3 linked regions of the Yarrowia lipolytica genome follow. The protein of the gene in region 1 interacts with the protein of each later gene in a biochemical or structural test. Links are inferred from orthologs where the notes say so. Each region holds a gene or a part of one and is shown on either strand. Other genes may lie near its edges.

What was found.
Region 2: of the proteins of YALI1_B14418g (region 1) and YALI1_C23359g, one has a biochemical effect on the other in vitro, tested with the Saccharomyces cerevisiae proteins (3 studies listed by BioGRID). The link is inferred for Yarrowia lipolytica from reciprocal best matches to the Saccharomyces cerevisiae genes CDC28 and BUD3.
Region 3: of the proteins of YALI1_B14418g (region 1) and YALI1_E39500t, one has a biochemical effect on the other in vitro, tested with the Saccharomyces cerevisiae proteins (2 studies listed by BioGRID). The link is inferred for Yarrowia lipolytica from reciprocal best matches to the Saccharomyces cerevisiae genes CDC28 and DNA2.

What each region holds. Positions count from the first base shown.
Region 1 is NC_090771.1:1,440,381-1,444,106, forward strand, and holds YALI1_B14418g (uncharacterized protein), read right to left. Parts: upstream 1,879-3,726; coding exon 1,833-1,878; intron 1,438-1,832; coding exon 533-1,437; downstream 1-532. Other genes in the region: YALI1_B14441g (uncharacterized protein), read right to left, coding at 2,837-3,726. UniProt on the Saccharomyces cerevisiae protein: Cyclin-dependent kinase that acts as a master regulator of the mitotic and meiotic cell cycles. Required to drive the G1-S transition. More than 200 substrates have been identified. Substrate specificity is in part regulated by the bound cyclin protein.
Region 2 is NC_090772.1:2,334,253-2,341,729, reverse strand, and holds YALI1_C23359g (uncharacterized protein), read right to left. Parts: upstream 5,739-7,477; coding exon 519-5,738; downstream 1-518. Other genes in the region: YALI1_C23415g (uncharacterized protein), read right to left, coding at 128-132.
Region 3 is NC_090774.1:3,948,412-3,954,775, forward strand, and holds YALI1_E39500t (uncharacterized protein), read left to right. Parts: upstream 1-1,628; coding exon 1,629-3,907; intron 3,908-3,952; coding exon 3,953-5,846; downstream 5,847-6,364. Other genes in the region: YALI1_E39553g (uncharacterized protein), read right to left, coding at 5,977-6,364. UniProt on the Saccharomyces cerevisiae protein: Key enzyme involved in DNA replication and DNA repair.

The DNA of each region.
Region 1 (3,726 bases):
TCGTCCTACGTGTACAGGTATATTCACACTATCTTTACAAGTAGCTAGTAGAGCTGCAAACATGCCCTTCTCAATCTATAATTGCCCACCTCATCATGATCCTAAGAAGGGATGTCCCTCATACAATTTAACTGTAAAACAAATGCTCTTACGCACGGCTATGCTTCTTACTGTATATACAACTCACTCATACTCGCACGGCTGTATCCATAATAGAATACAAGCCTGTCAGCTCAGTCTCAAGGTACGATACTGTACTGTCCCATTGTAGCTTCTATACAAAAGTATCCAAGTAAAGACACGCGTCTGACACATGCACTAGTTGTACTCATGCTGTCGAGACACCATGGAGAATGGCTACCGTACAAGCTTGGCCAGTAATCGTATCGGCACCACTACAATCGACGATACAATTTGCAGTACATGCCATGCCTACACTCCACGCAACCACTAATATGCCATGTAATCATTATAGAATCCTTCTCAAGTGTAATATCAATCTCGTTCATAGACCTTTCTCCTCCGTCTCCAATTATGCTCTAGTGGACATCATGAGCCCCGGACCTGCAGCAGCGTTATATCCACTCTTCATGTTGGTTCCCACGTCAAAGTAGGCGTGGTCGGCAGCCCGCTTGGCCGAGATTCGGCATGCAGGATCGTATGCCAGCAGATGCTCCAGCAGATCGAGACCCTCGTGATCCAATGGAGTCACTGTTCGACCAATGTCTTTGCGGCTCCACTGGGGGAATGTGGGCTTGTAGTCGGGAAGAGCTGTCACGCCGGGCCAGGTCTCCTCGGTGGGGGTGCCCAGCAGTCTGAAAATCTTGAAGATCTCGTCAATCTCCGAGTCTCCGGGGAACAGGGGCTTTCGGGTCACCATCTCGGCAAAGATACAGCCAATGGACCACATGTCCACACCAGTGGAGTATTGTCGACCTCCCAGAAGAATCTCAGGAGCTCGGTACCAAAGTGTGACAACCTCGTGGGTATAGGTTCTGAGAGGCACACCAAAGGCCCGGGCCAGACCAAAGTCGGCCAGCTTGAGGTTACCCTCCCGGTCGATGAGCAGGTTCTGGGGCTTGAGATCCCGATGCAGGATTCTGTGTGCGTGGCAGTATCGGGTTCCCAAAATGAGCTGGTTCATGAACTTCTTGACCATGTCGGCGCCGAGACCTACGCCGGGCGAAATGCTCTCCATGTACTTTTTGAGATCCAGGTCGAGGAACTCAAACACCAGGTAGAGCTTGTGTGAGTCGGAGTGGACAATGTTGTAGAGCGACACAATGTTGTCGTTTCGCATTTCCTTGAGCAGTGAGATTTCTCGAATGGCTGTGGAAGGCACTCCCTCGTCCTCGGCTTCCAGTCGGATCTTCTTCAAGGCCACCAAACGGTTATTGTTGAGAGTATCTCGTGCCTTGTATACCACTCCGTATGTTCCTGAGTTAGTACGAATAGATGCGGTGCTGTGGATTTTTCAGAACTGCTCGTGTAGACACGCGCCGTAACGTGTCATGAAGTTCTTCCTTGTATCTCGTCATGTGTGGGTCTTGTAGAGCTCACAGGCGCTTTTGCGATGCTCGAGGTAACGGGATGATGTAGACCTACACGAATACACCGTACTGTCCCAGAGTCATATCAACGCTCAACACCATGTGCCACACAACTAAGGTCTTCATCATCACACCCAAGTTCCTCCACAGCCTCTTCACAAGTCAACAAACACTCCAACCACACATCATACTGACAGCAGTGGCCGTAAACAAACCGCTCCAGTTGTACATCTCTGCGATCCCAAACAAGCATGCAACCGCTCCCGATACCCAAATACTCACCCTCTCCCACTTTCTCCAGCTTCTGGTAATGATTTAAGTCGACCATGGGTATCTGATAATGCTGCGTCACTTAACAATTTGCCATGTTGCAAACGTTTTGGTTTTGATGCACCCATCCCTTGCCCGTTGCGGGGGCAACCACTCCTCCCAACCCAAACCCAAACACTCAATCGGACACGGTCTCCTCCCAATAGGGAACCCAGCAACAACGCGTCATGTAAAAAGCTTGGTGTCTCCCTCCCAACTGAACCACGCTAACGCTCAAAACGTGAGCTGCCACATGCGGCTGCTAATTACAGTATTATGACACGGCTGTCCTTAGGATAAAAGAAACCAAGCGTGCGAGTGTACAAGTCATACTACTTATACTTATACTGTTACAGCCGAGTAAATAAGTGTATCACGCGATACAATTACGCCTGCGTATGGTGTCATGTGACTGCAAAAATCACATGATGTTATCATCATATGACCACGCGTCCCTCTTCACCTGTTTTCTATTGTTTGGTCGTTTACTGCGCTGTTTCATGCATGCTATAGCGTGGGTCTGAGATGTCAACCGCGAGACAAGGCCGCCAACAGGCAGGCACATGTACAATACGGTAAAGAGACCTAAACGCAGACTCCTACTTGTAGTGTGGCCAAAGAAAAAGCACTGCGCCTGTCTTCTGAGATCAGCCTACTTACTTACCCCTTGATCTTCGTATTCAAAGAAGATGATCAAGATGATCTTCGCGTTTTTTTGACTTCCAGATCAAAGGTCCATGGAACAGGAAGCGCGACCTAGTAGACTGAGGACGTGAAAAAGCTGTGATACTGATGTTCTCGAAGACTCCCTACAAGTTTTGTGCTGATTATTATCAACAGCGAGTCCACTCTACTACTCGTGCGTTCTACGGTACGTACCTTACTACAAGGATGTACTGGTATATTACTCATCTAATTATACTGTACACTCCATAGATATCCACCTATTACTGATTAAATATTACATAACACCCAGACTAGTTCTTGTTGGCAGCGTTGGCTACAGGGATACCGACACCCAGACCAACGGCGAGAGCCACAATGATGAAACAAATGAGCAGACACCACCACTTCTTCTTTCGGTAGGCTCGGGCCTTGATGACGGCCTTGTTGGTGTGCCCGAGACCCTGCTCGATATCTGTCTGCACGCCCTGGGTCTGGTTGTCAATGTGCTGCACAGGGGCCTCCTGCTCGGCCACAAGCAACTCCATGTCGTGGAACAGCTGGGCCAGCTCCGACATGGTCTGCTCGATCTTCTGGATCTCCTTGTGTCGGTTCTGAACCTCGGAAAGGGCCGTCTGAGCCTGTCCTCGTCGGTTGGACGTCATCAATGCTTGGGAGAAAATCTGCTCGCCCTGGGCGTCGTCAATGGCGGAACGCACCTCGGCGTCAGTGGCCTCGGGGCGCACAATTCGGTATTGCCGCTCAGCCCGCTCTCGGTATCGCTGTCGGAACGTGGCCTCGACGGTCTGGTACCGCTGGATGGAGTTCATGAATTGCCGCTTGAGGTTCTCGGCCTGTGTCTTTTTGGTAGAGTCTCTGGTGGATCGCGATTGCAGGGACTTGATCCGGTCCTTGAGAGACTGCGACAGAGAGGAGGTCTCGTCAACCAGCGACTCAATCTGCTCCCGTGTGTAGGCTTCCTGCTCCTCGCTAATTTCGTTGAGCGACCGCTTGTGCAGCGACTCGATGCTGTCAATGTTCTGGTCGTATTGCAGAATGCTCTTCTTGATTTCATCTACCTCCTCGAAAAAGTCCATCATGTCGCCCTGGGGGGCATTTGTTCGGCCATATGCGGGGGGTTCGTTGGTGGAGGTGGGGTTGAAGGACGTCTTGGAGTCCATGCCGTAGGGGTTGGACCCCACCG
Region 2 (7,477 bases), on another chromosome or scaffold:
TTCCGAACATGCTCAACCATGCCGCGAGCCATTGATGATCGCCAAATCGCGCCCTGTATTCTGGCCTAATGATTTTGATTTGACTTTCTCCCTCCCCTCTGAGTCCCCTCCATTATCTCATACTCACTTCATTCGGGGGTTGATTTGGTTGTGTTTTTTTGCAGATGTGGTGATGAGATCAGTGTACTGCAGCATCATGCATATCGCTTAATAATATCAGACCTTGTATTTTTTTTTCGGCATATGAGACCGTGGGTTCGATTTGTGGTGAGGCTCTTCAACAAATTAGTTGAGTGTCAGATTAACAATATAACGGACGTCCACATGGAGACGTTGCACCTGTCCTGTCGACCCCATGAGAAACACCAAGAACATTTGCAATACTTGTACATCTACTTGTGTTAAACTCGCCCACAGCAGTTTATCAACCAATTTATGCATTATTATCTATTGTGCTTGCACCGTTGAATTGTTACTCATAGTACGCGTATCGCCATTGCCATCTCCACAGTTTGGCCTTACTCGTATTCGTCCACCCACTCCTTCTTCACCCTCGTCTGTCCCTTTGCCGGACTTCGATCCCTCACATACTTGCCGAGAAACATAATGGACGAGTCTCGCAAATCAGGGTACAAAGCTCCTCCAGTCGACCCGCTCTCGATGGAAGAGGTGAAAGACTCCGACTGAGGGACCTGGGAGGTGTCAACGGGATTTCGAGAGTACACCCGGGCACTCTTGGACGTCCGTCGTGCATGGGCACTCTCCAAAGACTTGCCGTCTTCTTCACCAAGCGCAACCTTACCCTGCAAAATACCAGCAAGATAGGAAAAGGACGAAAACTCGTCTTCGGCCGGGTTCTCGGAAGAAATAGGAGGAAGAGGAGGAGGATACTTGAACTGCGCCATGGAGGAAGACTTCATGTGTCGCAATTGGCGCGCAGAGTCGTCACGCGACGTACCGGGAGGCAGAATGTCTCGTGATGAACCAGCCAGAAAGTCCCGGGATGAGTCAACCATGAAATCACGGGACTCGTCCGAGTCGCGCGACGCCAGATAGTTTCGAGCCGCCTGCAGGTCCGACGTCGAGTCGGCCATAAAGTCGCGTGACTGGTCGTAGTACTGCGATTGGTCACGCGATTGAGCCTGCGACGGATACACACGAGATTGGTCACGTGACTCGGCCATGAAGTCCCGGCTCTCATCAAACCGCCGGGAGTCCTCAAACCGACGCGAGTCATTAAAGTCGCTACCACGTGACGACGACTCTTCACTCGAGTGGAACGAGGAAAACTCGCTGACGTCATCAACGCAGTCGGGGTCAGCTGCTGAAGACCGATTGGTCTTGATGAAATCAAACAGCTTCACGTCGTTGCGGGAGTCACGTGACGCGTGGGAAACGCTGGCGTCACGTGATTCGCCGCAGTCCAGGCTCTCCAGCGAGCTCATGTTTCGTCCATGGCCCCCACCCATTAGCTCCGAGTCGTACGAGTCGTTCCAGGTGTGTCTTTGGTTGGCCACATTGTCTTCAGACTCCGATCCAGAGTACGTGTAGTAGTGGGAATGTGATGTGGGTAATTGATGGTTGGAGTCGAACACTGGATGGCTGGGTTCCTTCTTGATTGGTCGAATTGAGCCGCTAGAGGTGATTCCTGGCTGGCTGGCTGATGTGTCTACGCCAGAAGAGTCAGTAACGACAATGGATCCTGTACCAACTACACCAGAAGCAGCGGGGGCGCCAAACACCCCGAGAGCATCCACTGGGTTGGTGGTGTTGTATCCTGAGGAGTTGGTCGTAGTGTTGTTGAACACAGCTCGAGTACTGGCGTCAGGGTAGACACCAGAGGTGGTACCATTAGTGGTGTTGGCATACACTCCCGTGGGATCGTAGATACCTGAAGAGGTGGTGTTTGCAGCGACCGAACTGGAATTGTAGCCAGAGCTTGAGTTGAAAGCTGACGTATCGTTTCCAGAGTAAATGGCGGTAGCTGTGGAGGGGGTTCTATCAGCATTCGGGACTGGTAGGGGTCGAGACACGGATCGGACACCGGATGCTGCACGTAACTCAGCCGCCCTCGGGTCTCCAGTGACACCTTGAATGCCGGAGAAGTTTCGGGTAGCTTCTGAAACTGCTCCGTAATCAGATGACACTGCCCTGGTAGCGTCAGAAACGCCAGATACGGCTCTATCGGCCCCGTGCGCCCCTGATTCACCGCCATAAGTGGATTCCGAGTTCACTCTCGGGTTATCCACGTCTCCATACCCGATATCATCCACCTCAGCACCATCCTCATCGTCACTGTTGGTCTGAATTCCACGCCGGAGAGCCGCAAACGACTTCTTGCGACGAACAACCTTGGGAGTGACATCGGGGTCGTTCTCAAGCGTTGGCCGAGGAGTCTCCGCCGCTCCAAACTTCCCACCGTCCATCTCAGGAGTCTTGGCAGAAATACCAAGACCATGCATCTCGCCCGTAGGAGGCACCACGGGCACAGGAGGGGGCACGTTGATCTTTTGGGGTACGTCAGGCACTCTACCGCTCTCAACCACATCTTCATCTTCATCTTCCTCTCTCAAACTGGGTGATCGCAACTTGCCCTTGAGTTTCATCCACATGCTGTCTTTCCGGTTGAGCTCGGGATTGGGACTGTTCTTGGGTGACTTGCCGAGCAGCGACAACACCGACTTTTTTGATTTCAACGAGGGAGATGCCTTGGTAGGAGCCTTGGCAGAAGGCTTCGCACTGGGCTTCGCACTCTTGACATCCTTGGCAGGGACAGGCGGCTTCGCGTGCACTCCCTGGACGGGCTTGCTCACGCCCGTAACCACCAGCGCCGCATCGTCAATCATGCTTTTGCTCTGCACGGGTTTGGTAGGCTTTGTGTGGGCCTGGCGCGTCGCAAAATCCATCAGCTGCTGTGCCACCATTTCGTTTCCCTGCACAATGCTCTCGACCATCTCGGGGTTGGCCGGAGACAGATACAGCGTGTACAGATTGGAGACCTCGGTGTTGATGAAGTTGGCGAGCGAGTCCAGACTCACCTGGCGGTCGAGGGTGTAGGCAAACTTGGAGTGCAGCGTCACATGGGCACTCTCGTTGGACAGCAGCGAGATGGAAAAGGCTGCGTCCAGCTCGTGGCGCTTTGTAAGTTCACGTGCGAGCTGCTTGCCATCGGACCCGTCCATGTTCAGAAAGATGGCAATGGGAGACTTTCGTTGCTCAGACAGATAGCCCTGCATTTCATGCACCGTCATAAACAGATTCAGACCGTGAGTCTTCTGGTGGTGAAAGAGATGGAACGGTTGTGTCTTCGACATGATCTTCGCCTTAGTGCAGAGCTCTACAATCTTGGGTGCAACCGGAGTCTTGAGGGTGAACAGTAGTGTCGTGGTGGAGCTTCCAGAACCTCCAGTGGCGTTCTCCAGGCTGTTGGGGACAATACCTTCGTTGCCATATTCGGCTGTGTTGAACCCTCCGACTGCAAACAGCGACAGGTTGTGGCCAAAGTTGTATTCGGAAGCAAAAACGTGTGATATGGGTGCCCAGAACTTGACTCTGAGAGGCGGAATTTGTGGTACGGCAACCTCGTTGATCAGCGAATGCATTAGCATGTCGGCGATGGACACCGAGTGGAAAGAAACACCCGACGCGATTCTTTTCTGCGCCTGTGTCTGAATCGTCGACGAGTATGAGGGCTCGACTTCCAGCAGAAGAATGTGATCGGTGAAGATGATGAGAATTGAGTCTTTTGAGGACGAAGGAGAGGAACCATTGTGTTGTTGTGTGTTACGCGATTCGGTTCGCATTTCACGCGTCTCAAACACACTCGTGACGTCGAAAATGCTCACAACTCTTCGGTTTATCCACCCGTACTGTAGCTCTCTCGGCCAGCCGGAGGCAAACTCAACGAGAATCTTACCAGTTGGTGTAAAGACTCGCTTGTCGTAGACCACGTGGTTTTCCACCCGCGCAAAACTCTCAATTGTGTTGACAGCCGCATGGTAGTACATCATGGTCGCATCATGCTTGTCGCCCCAGTTGCTGAGCTTTACAATACGATCCAGCAGCAGCTTGATCTTGGTGAGGTTTTGAGAAGCGGCCAGAACTGACTGGATCCGCTGCTGGGAGTAGGGAACTGGAGGCACAAAGCCAGACTCGGCAATCAGCGCAGAGTAGTCGCCATAGAGATCGGAAAAAGACCTCAGTGCAGCCTCGTGGCGCATGCACGGCTTGTAAAAGTAAGGAAGAGTCATTCCTGTGGCTCTGACGATTTCCGACGAGCCAAACGGCGTCGCAGCCTTGAGCGCGGTCTGGAATAGGTTGTGAATTCGAGCAATCTCGTCAATGGTGGGTGGGAAGATGGAATTCAACTTTGTCATGTTTAGCGAGGGGATGGCGCCATTGATGACCTGGATTCGCAGCGGAATGAGATACGACTGCAAAAACGAGATAAGCGCGTCGCGGAAATTGTTCTGGATGGTGATGAGCTCATAGCACACGGACGTGAGTGTAGCCGAATCGGAAAAGTTGGACGATGTGGGACTTGGTTCGCGACCGTTCTCGTCGTCCTCCTGGTCGACATCACCGCCAGCACCGCGTCTGTCTGTATCTTCGTCTCTAGGGGGCTCGTAAACCTCCTCAACACCCTCGGGCGAGTACTCACTCAGTGGGTCAAACAGCTGCTCGAGCTGCTCGCCAAGCAGGTACACGAGCCGGTTGTTATCCTCAATAGTCTCGTCGCTGTCTTCGTAGACGATATCCACCGCACTGGAACGCACAAACTTGGGTTCGACAACACCAGATTCTAATACCAGCTTACCAATCTCCTCGGGACCATGTCCATCCCCCACAACAAGCTGAGAGGCCGTTTTTCCTGCACATGTCTCATCGTAATCGTAGAGGAAGGACGTTTGGAGAGCGTTTTTGGCGAGATATGTACGGATGTTCTTGTCCATGGTGACATAGGCACGCAGGAGGGCGATACCTAGAGCGCGTGACACAGCCGAGGACTTGTCCTCGAGGTTTTTGACTGCGCCGTAGTATCGGCTCTTGTGGCTGAGGGTCATGTCGACGAACCCGGAAGCTCCGTGGCGCGAGATGATGACGCAGGAATGTGATTTGTCCGTTTTGTAAACGATGCCGAGAATAGGGCCGAATAGCGGGTCCGTGCCGACCATATAGACGGCGGTCGAGATGACGGACGGGTTTGTGTAGAGCTTTGAGTCGCATAGCGAGTTGCAATCGATGATGATCACATCTGCCGACGGGGTTGAGATGGGAAGGGAGAGACCTGGGTTAGCAAAGAAAGGAAGCAGAAGAGCAGCACGCGGGAAGGTGAACAGATTTGGCAGGATAAACGAGTCGGCTGCAAGAGTTGGTAGTTGTCCATGACACGTTTGTAACCGTTCAGCGCCAAGTTTGTATAATAGAACCGTTGTAATTGGCAGCAAGTTCACACAGTTGGCATTGCCATGAGCCCGCTCTCGGGGCGCTTTGATGATTGACTGCTCTGACACAACCCAAAAGAGGTTCGCTTGATATGCTGAGACGGTGACAAGTAGGTCATGCGTGCGAGTGGTGGAACTGGCAGCATTCTGATCGCGTTGGTGGGAACACCGGTATTGTGAGATTGAGGAAGACATGTAGAGACTGCGGGTTTGATAACTGTGATTTTGCCGGTCGCACTGTTCCCAAGACACGGTCCTTTTGGTATCCCGTAGAAAAAGATGGAGCCAGGTCATCTTTCAGAAATTGTAGCATTACGATCCATAACTTGGATCCAGAGCAAGACATTGACACGGTAAGAACACGCCACTCCAGTAGCATACCACACAAAAGGAAGCCGTGCACAAACCATGGACCTTATTAAACTGCTCAACATGACGAACAATCGCTTGCCAACTCGTTCCATCTTCATCCCACACCCCACCGTCTCAAATCACCAAACCCACCTTATCAGGTCCCGCCAAACCCGACATGCCGCGGGCTTCACTCATTTCTCTTCTCTTGTGGTTACTCACTCTCCTCCTTCATCTTCTCCTGATTCATTATCGCAGTCTCGTCACTACTTTTAGGCGTGCTGGGTGAGACTGAAACTCGCAACTAGTTCGTGACGCGTCTACACTGCTGCATTGGGGTTAGGGTAGAGCCCGCCAAGCGTCGTAAATGCGTCGTAAATGCACTTTGGCGTACGCAGAACGTTGGTGGGACGCCCGCGGATGGAGGTTTTGTCACGTGATTACCCTGATAACGTGACCAAACCTCCCAAAAACCCCCGTAAACGCGGTTTTATCCCTTCATCCGCGCGTCCCTCAACGTGTTATTGACAAACTCTATTCTGAATTTTCGCCTAGAGCAGGGTTAAAGACAGACATTTGGCGTGGTCTAAACCTGTTATGTAAGCCGGTAGGGTAATACCTGACTAATACGTTGATGAGAAATCCTCATTAATGATTAGAGGAACCAGCTTTGTCGCAGATGGATGGACTTTGTAGATATTTATCCACTGATCGAGAGTCTCTCTGGTGAATGGGTGAATGAGCGAGCCCACACCTTTCTGGTGAGTAACTCGTCATGCTGGGTAGACAGGCCTGTACGGGGACGCCATCGGCAACACTTCGCGTTGGGGTCTGGTGCTGGAGCATTTGCCACGTAGAGCGGGCTTGTCTGGGGGTTGCCGATTTTCACATTAGTATGTAAGGAACTTCTCGGGTATGGTCTCCTCGGCAGGGAGAATCCCATCAGTAGCCACTGCCAGTGGGGTTGATGTGTTTCCAAGTCGTCATTCAGGAACGAGTCCAAGGTATGTGCCACCAGTATACGCTTCGCCAGCCCGTTCCAAGCCTTTATCTCGAATGTCCATCCTGCCATCAGTTACAAAAGGATGGGAAGGACATTCCCCCGTCAACAGTCGCCGCGTCTCTGGTATCTAGAGTGGTGAAACCGATTCATTCGAGGTGTAGATGTCGTTCTTCGTATTGTTGGAAACAAGTCCGCCAGACTGGGGGATCAAAGAAGGGTTCTCAGAGTCAAAGGTTTGGACCATACGGGTTTCAAGAAGACCCAGATGACGTTCCATGTGGTCTGCAAGGGGTCGGCGTTCCAGGAAACGCGCAAATGGAGACTGGCAAACTCGGCCTTCAAGGAGATCCCAGACTAGGTAGTGCTTGCCATATTGGACATGGCCACACAGATCCCTATAAGCGCCGTCTCTTGCAGCTTAGTCCCGCTGAACATCAGGGTGCACACATAACACACCGATCCGAAAGTCGGAAGACGTGAGAGGTTCGGATGCGGTGAAACGTGATCATTGGTATGCGTGGTCTCAACCTCAATTCCTTCAGCTTCAGCATATCTGCGCAGGACAGTAAATTCTCCTCCTTGATCGAGGAGAATTCCGCGAGGCCCGCCGGCGTCTCGAAAGCATGATAGCCCACTCGAGAAACTTGGTGACGTACTTGCTCGGCTCGGTCAAGTCAAC
Region 3 (6,364 bases), on another chromosome or scaffold:
TCTCACATGTTTGTCCAAGTGCGGATTTGTCTCACCTGGACCCCTGTCTTGGAATGTCTTGGTCATATTATTTGGCTCCTCTAGAAACCCGTTTGCGGGTAAGGAAGCAACCTGTGCATGTTGCATCACGGCCCGCACTGCCACTACAAGTACTGTACGGTAGAGGCAGTTGAGACAGGTCTATTGAGATGGAATGGGTTTTGAAACAACAAATATACATTATAATTCTCTTTTTTTTTAATACATTCTGTCAGTTCGCCGAAGAAAAATACCTTAAGAATGTCATTTCTTGCTCGTCAAAGAGAGGTTGAAAAACATCATTGAACTTCAACTGAAGTGCTTCCATCTACAAGTTTTGTTTGGAAACAGAGAGAGACAAATCCCTTCCAGATACAAGTAGCTTTTGTTAAAGATAATTAGACCATGTACTGTATCATTAAAATAGGGACAGCAATCCCATGTTCCAGATACGTAACGAGAAAGTCATTCATTAACGTGTTCACCATTTGAAACTTCCTAAGTGCGTTTATTATTACTGCTGTATCGAGTGTAGCAGATTTCTTTCGTTTTTTTTATGATTCCGTTTATTTCCATATGACTTTAGTTGAGTTTAGTTGATACCCGATGTGAAAACACCCTACACATTAACAATCTTGTGCTCATACATACTGTACTTGACTTCTGTTTCTCTACAGCATCAATGTTCACCAAATTTCAAATTTAGACGCGTAATACCACTCATGTGGTTAGGGTTAGCACGGATCTCTCAAACACGATCCCGAGTGCAAATATCGCATTTTACACCTTTATTGCATTTAGTACAATATCTATATATATATAGACACCCTATCTTATCACTTACAGTACTTTCCTTACACTTGCTATCTTACTGCACGTGTCACTGTGTTTTTTTTTTTTTTCTGCATATACATTCATTTAATTATAACTTTGCTGTGAAAGAATAACCTTTGAAATGAATGTACGCTTACACGAATATTACTAATTAAACACGTTTAGTGTCATGGTCCAACTTGGCACGTACCTATTTCCAGTAAAAAAATCATAAAAAAACCTGGTTCAGTCCGTGTTGTATGTTGGTCCACATAGCTTCGCGTGTTTGTTCGTTCATCGGGAAAACGCCACTCCAGTCTCCAGTTCTCTAATCTCAATCCTTCCATTGCCCTCTTCGTTTGCATTGCCTTTGAAAATGTCTCCTTGTGGTTCTTCTTCGTCATTGGTTTGGTTCTGCGTCCCCTGTGGTGACTACGCGCCCTGCTACGCTGTTCTCTCGGTGGCCTCGGCCGCCTTTTACGCTTGCTACTGTGTCTACTCTCGCTCATCGTGAAGTGCTGGCGGTTGTCCATCGTAGAAACACATCTGGGCTTCCTTCAGGAATTGAAGCAAACCCTGTTGGACATGTCCCAGGGTGGCGTCGTCCCCTGAGTACCGGAGGGATCTCTCCATCTTCCAGATCCCATATGTTCTCACGGTGACTTCTGTGAAACCCACCAGATCTGAAGCAACGCCACCTTAACCGTGTCGACGTGACGCGTCAGACACGCAGTGACACACAAATTGAAAAACATACACACCTCACAACATTGATCTGATCCACGCCACCAAACAACATGTCGAGATATTTTCTGGGGTCTGTGCCCCAAGATGATCCGTCACCGGCTGCTGAAGAGGACGAAGACCCGTCCTCCGACTGGTCGGCAGCCACACCCATAAGGCCAAGGGAAAACATCCCCAGTTCGGAACAGTACGAGTCCAGTGATGGCCACATTTCTTGCATTCTCTCCCCGCTAGACAGGAACATTGTGATCCCTGACCAGAGCGACGAGCCTCCGATTCCAGTGGTCCTTGATCCAACCGAAATCCTTCTGAGACGCTACCGACCCGAATCATTCAACAACTCTGCCGCCAGCTCAGCGGCAAATTCCACAACGGTAAAGGCTTCTTCGGCTGGTTCAGATGCCAACGCCACAAGCAACTTCACCAACAACCTGGATCTCAACACGACAGTCATTGCAGACGATCCGTTCGTGGAGGCGGTGTGCTCTACGCCCAAGGGAAGGGACATTAGCGGACGCTTTGAAGAGACTACACCAACAAGAGGTCCACCCGCTCCAAAGCCAGAAGAGTCTTACAAGTTGTCATCTTCACCGCCAAAGGCCACAGCTGAGAAGCCTTCCATAACCACCAGCATCGAGGGTTTGAGTAGTCAGCTTGATATCCTTGATGACTTGGATGACGACGATATTGATTTTGCATTGACCCAACATACCCAGAAAAAGAAGGAAGTCAAGTTAACACAACCTACCATTAAAAAGGAAACTGATATCCACGTTTTGAAGGACATTGAGGACCTAAAAAAAACGCGTGGGTCTCCCATTAAGCTTTCAAAAGCATCAATGGGGTCTAATATTAGGCCCCTGACTGAAGTCAAGAAGGTTGATGTCAAGTCATTCATTGACGACCTGGAGGACGAAGACTTTGATAGTGATTTGGAACTCGAATTCACACAGGTTCGGGCCAAGAAGAAGCCGCGCCTTCAGACATCGAGATATAAGCTCGTCACTGACCATGTTATGTCTCAACGAACTCACAAGGAAAACGCCTTACCCGTGGAGATTGACTACAAACGAGACGATGTTCTGCGGTTCAGAATCGTCGAAGTGGAGGAAAGTTCGACTCAGATCGCTCTAGTTGTGGAGGACAGCAAGGCCCAGCAACACCGTGTTGCTTTGCGAGGTTGCTGGATGCGAGCAATACCTTGTGTGGGAGACATTTGTCATTTGATCGATGAGTCATCAAATGACGACATGGATCTCGATTTCGAGATGGATTTCGACTACATTGTGGACGACATGAAGGGCGATATGCTTTTTATTCTGAATCCTGACACTCTGGTGACCTGTACAGCCGTTGCTGAGGCCCACCAGTGCACTCGAAACGTGGTTCTGAAAGACAAAATGCAGGGACCGAGAGGAATCGGGTCTATTTTTGCACTCTTGGGTGTCATTATCCACGAGACCATCCAGATGTGCTTTGGAGCTGTGAGATACGACGCCGAGTTTGTGGAGTCATGTGCTGAGACCGTTACCAAAGCAAACATGGATGGCATCATGCTCTCTGGTGAGAGTTTTGACTCTGTGTTTGCCAAAATCAAGGACCGACTACCGAACATTGTGGAGTGGTTTAGAGAGTATATGCGTCAGACTCCCTCTGCAGTGGCGATTGAGAATCGAACAGGTAAGAAGAGAACTCTTGCTATCACCAAAGTTGTCGATGTTGAAGAAGAGATCTGGTCTCCGCGATACGGAATCAAGGGTAAGATCGATGCCACCATTGAAGTCCGGGAGGGAAACCACCGATACTTGGTTCCTCTGGAAGTCAAGACGGGAAAATCTACAACTCATATTCCCCACCGGTCGCAAACGGCGCTGTACACTCTCATGTTGCATGATCGGTACACTTGTCCCATCAACTTTGGAGTTTTGTATTACTCTGCCACCTCTGAGACCCTTGTCATTCCAGCTGTCAAGGACGAAATTCATAACCTGCTTGCTATTCGAAACGAGGTTGCTAGCTTCATGCGACAAGGGTCTCGAGACATGCCTGACGTTATCTACGATCAAGGCCAGTGTGACCGGTGTTTCCAGAAGTCGGAATGTATGGTCTATTACCGACTCTACGATACGTATTTGAAGGAGTATATGGGTGAAGATGGTGGAGCGACCGCCAACAAGGCCAGATTCTTGCAGGAGACCGAACATGTGACTGAGAAGGACTCTCAATTCTTTAACCACTGGGATGCCTTGCTGGCCAAGGAAGGAAGTGATACTGCAGTGCTCAAACGAGAGGTGTGGACCATGCTGTCCAAGGATAGAGAAAGGGAAGGGAGGTGAGTATTGATGAGATTATGCTGCCTTTAATTTTACTAACAGAGATGTTTCTCAAGCCTTATTATTGACAACGTGGAGAAGAATGCCAATTCATTGTGGTACACGTTCAAGTCTCCTGATGGAAGCGAGATCCCCTATGCATCTGTCAACATTTCGCCGGGTGACCGAGTAGTCATTTCTGATGAGGCTGGTCATTACTGTTTGGCTATGGGTACTCTGCTTGGCTCGTCTTCAGAGACTGTGCGATGTGCTCTTGATCGTCGACTTGAGTTCTCTCTGCAGAAACTCCAGGGTTTCAGATCCAACGACAACCAGGTTTTCCAGAGCATGCTGACCCACAGTTCTCAGAGCCATGAAGCCCCCATAGATTTTAGGTTTCGGGTTGATCGTGACGACTTCGCTTTTGGCCTGGGAGTTGCCCGTAACAACCTGTTTTCTCTGTTTGCCAAGCATCTCGGTACCGATGAGAGCCCCCAGAAGATCGAGCAACTGCGTTCATGGATTGTTGATTTGGCACCCCCTCAGCCTGTTGCTGGAGAGCCCACTGTCAAACTCGGTCGACTCAATTCCGACCAGACTAGGGCTGTCCACCACATCCTGAACTCAAAGGATTACAGTCTTCTACTAGGAATGCCTGGAACCGGTAAGACCACCACCATTGCTGAGATTATCATGGAGCTGGTCAAGAACGGAAAGACTGTTCTCCTGAGTAGTTTCACTCATTCTGCTGTCGACAACATTTTGTTGAAGCTGATGCAGCACCCTTCATGTAACTTCGACATGCTGAGATTGGGAAGCACCTCCAAAATTCACCCTGAGGTTGCGGAGCATTACGCAGCCAACAACCGACGGAACTACGAGACCCGAGAAGAGTTCGAGAAGCTTTTTCTTGCTCCTCCAGTTGTTGGTGCAACTGCCTTGGGTATTGGAGACTGGGTTCTTCAGGAGCGTCATTTCGATTACTGCATTGTTGATGAGGCCTCCCAAATCACCCTTCCTTTCTGCCTCGGTCCAATCCGCTATGCAGACAAGTTCGTTCTTGTTGGAGATCATTACCAGCTGACGCCCATTGTCAAGAATCCGGAAGCTGCTGGACTGCGAGAGTCTCTTTTCAAGATGCTATGTGACGCACATCCCACCCAGGTAGTTAATCTGGGTATTCAGTACCGAATGTGTGCTGATATCATGTTGCTGTCCAACACTCTGATCTATGATGGCAAGCTGAAGTGTGGTAGTGACGAGGTGGCCAACCAATCTTTGGCTGTTCCTCAGCTCTCCAAACTGCGTACTTTGTACGCCGATGGACTCCCCAATGGCGACTATCTAGGTCATGTTCTGGATCCCAAGCGGAAGGTTATCTTCCTCAACACGGATCTTGTTCCTGCGCAGGAAACTATTGCCGGCGATAGAATCCATAACCCCACTGAAGCTGTCATAGTGGGCCAGATTGTGGAGGCTCTTTGTCTGTGTGGCGTTGAAGACTCACAGATTGGATGCATCTCGCAGTACAGAGCTCAGCTGAAACTTATCAACAAGGAGCTTGCCCTGCGAAGTGGCATCGAAGTTATGACCGCAGACAAGTTCCAGGGCCGAGACAAGGACTGCATTGTGGTGTCTCTCGTGCGGTCAAACAACGAGCAGCGAGTCGGTGATCTTCTCAAGGATTGGCGACGGCTCAATGTGGCCTTTACGCGATCTCGATCCAAGCTCATTGTCATTGGATCTCGAGCTACCCTTGAGTCGTTTGATCTTCTCAAGGAGTTCTTGCGTCTGATCGATGACAATGGATGGATGTATTCGCTTCCAAAGGACTGTACTAAGATGTACAGCATTGTCAAACAGGGTACTTCCCCTAGAAAGAAGCAAAAGCGTGTTGGCCTGAGCCAGCGCTTGATCGATAACCGGCCTATCATGAAGAACATTCTTGAGGGTCTTTAGATAATATATATTATTTCCATTCATTTAATTCTCAACTTGTCTACTTATGGTTGGCTGCTGCTACTTGTAACTAATACATATATCAACACTGTCTTCATTCACGATTATACTCACTACGTAATTAGTTAGACTACACTTTGCTATCATCACTTACTGCACTCCAATCTGAAGAGAAGGCGTCTGATGACTCTAGCGATAGCAGATCTCCATCCGAGAATTGCGGCTCCTTGGCATCTCGGATATCTGCTTCTCCGTAGCCAAACTTCCACTTCTTGGGCGGTGTCTGGATGACGAGCCTTTCTCCAATCTTCTGCCACTCAGCTTCAGAGTCATCATTAACACACCTGACCCTAGGAAGCGTCTTCAGGGTCTTGAGAATAGCGGCCACATGGAGAGGAAGGCTTCCAGAGCCCGACTCAAAAGTGATAACAATCTGTTTCTCATTATCGGGGTCGATTTCTGAGATTCCAGAGTCGGTCTCAAAGTCAGAAGGGAGATCCTTGAGATTGGAGCTGGCC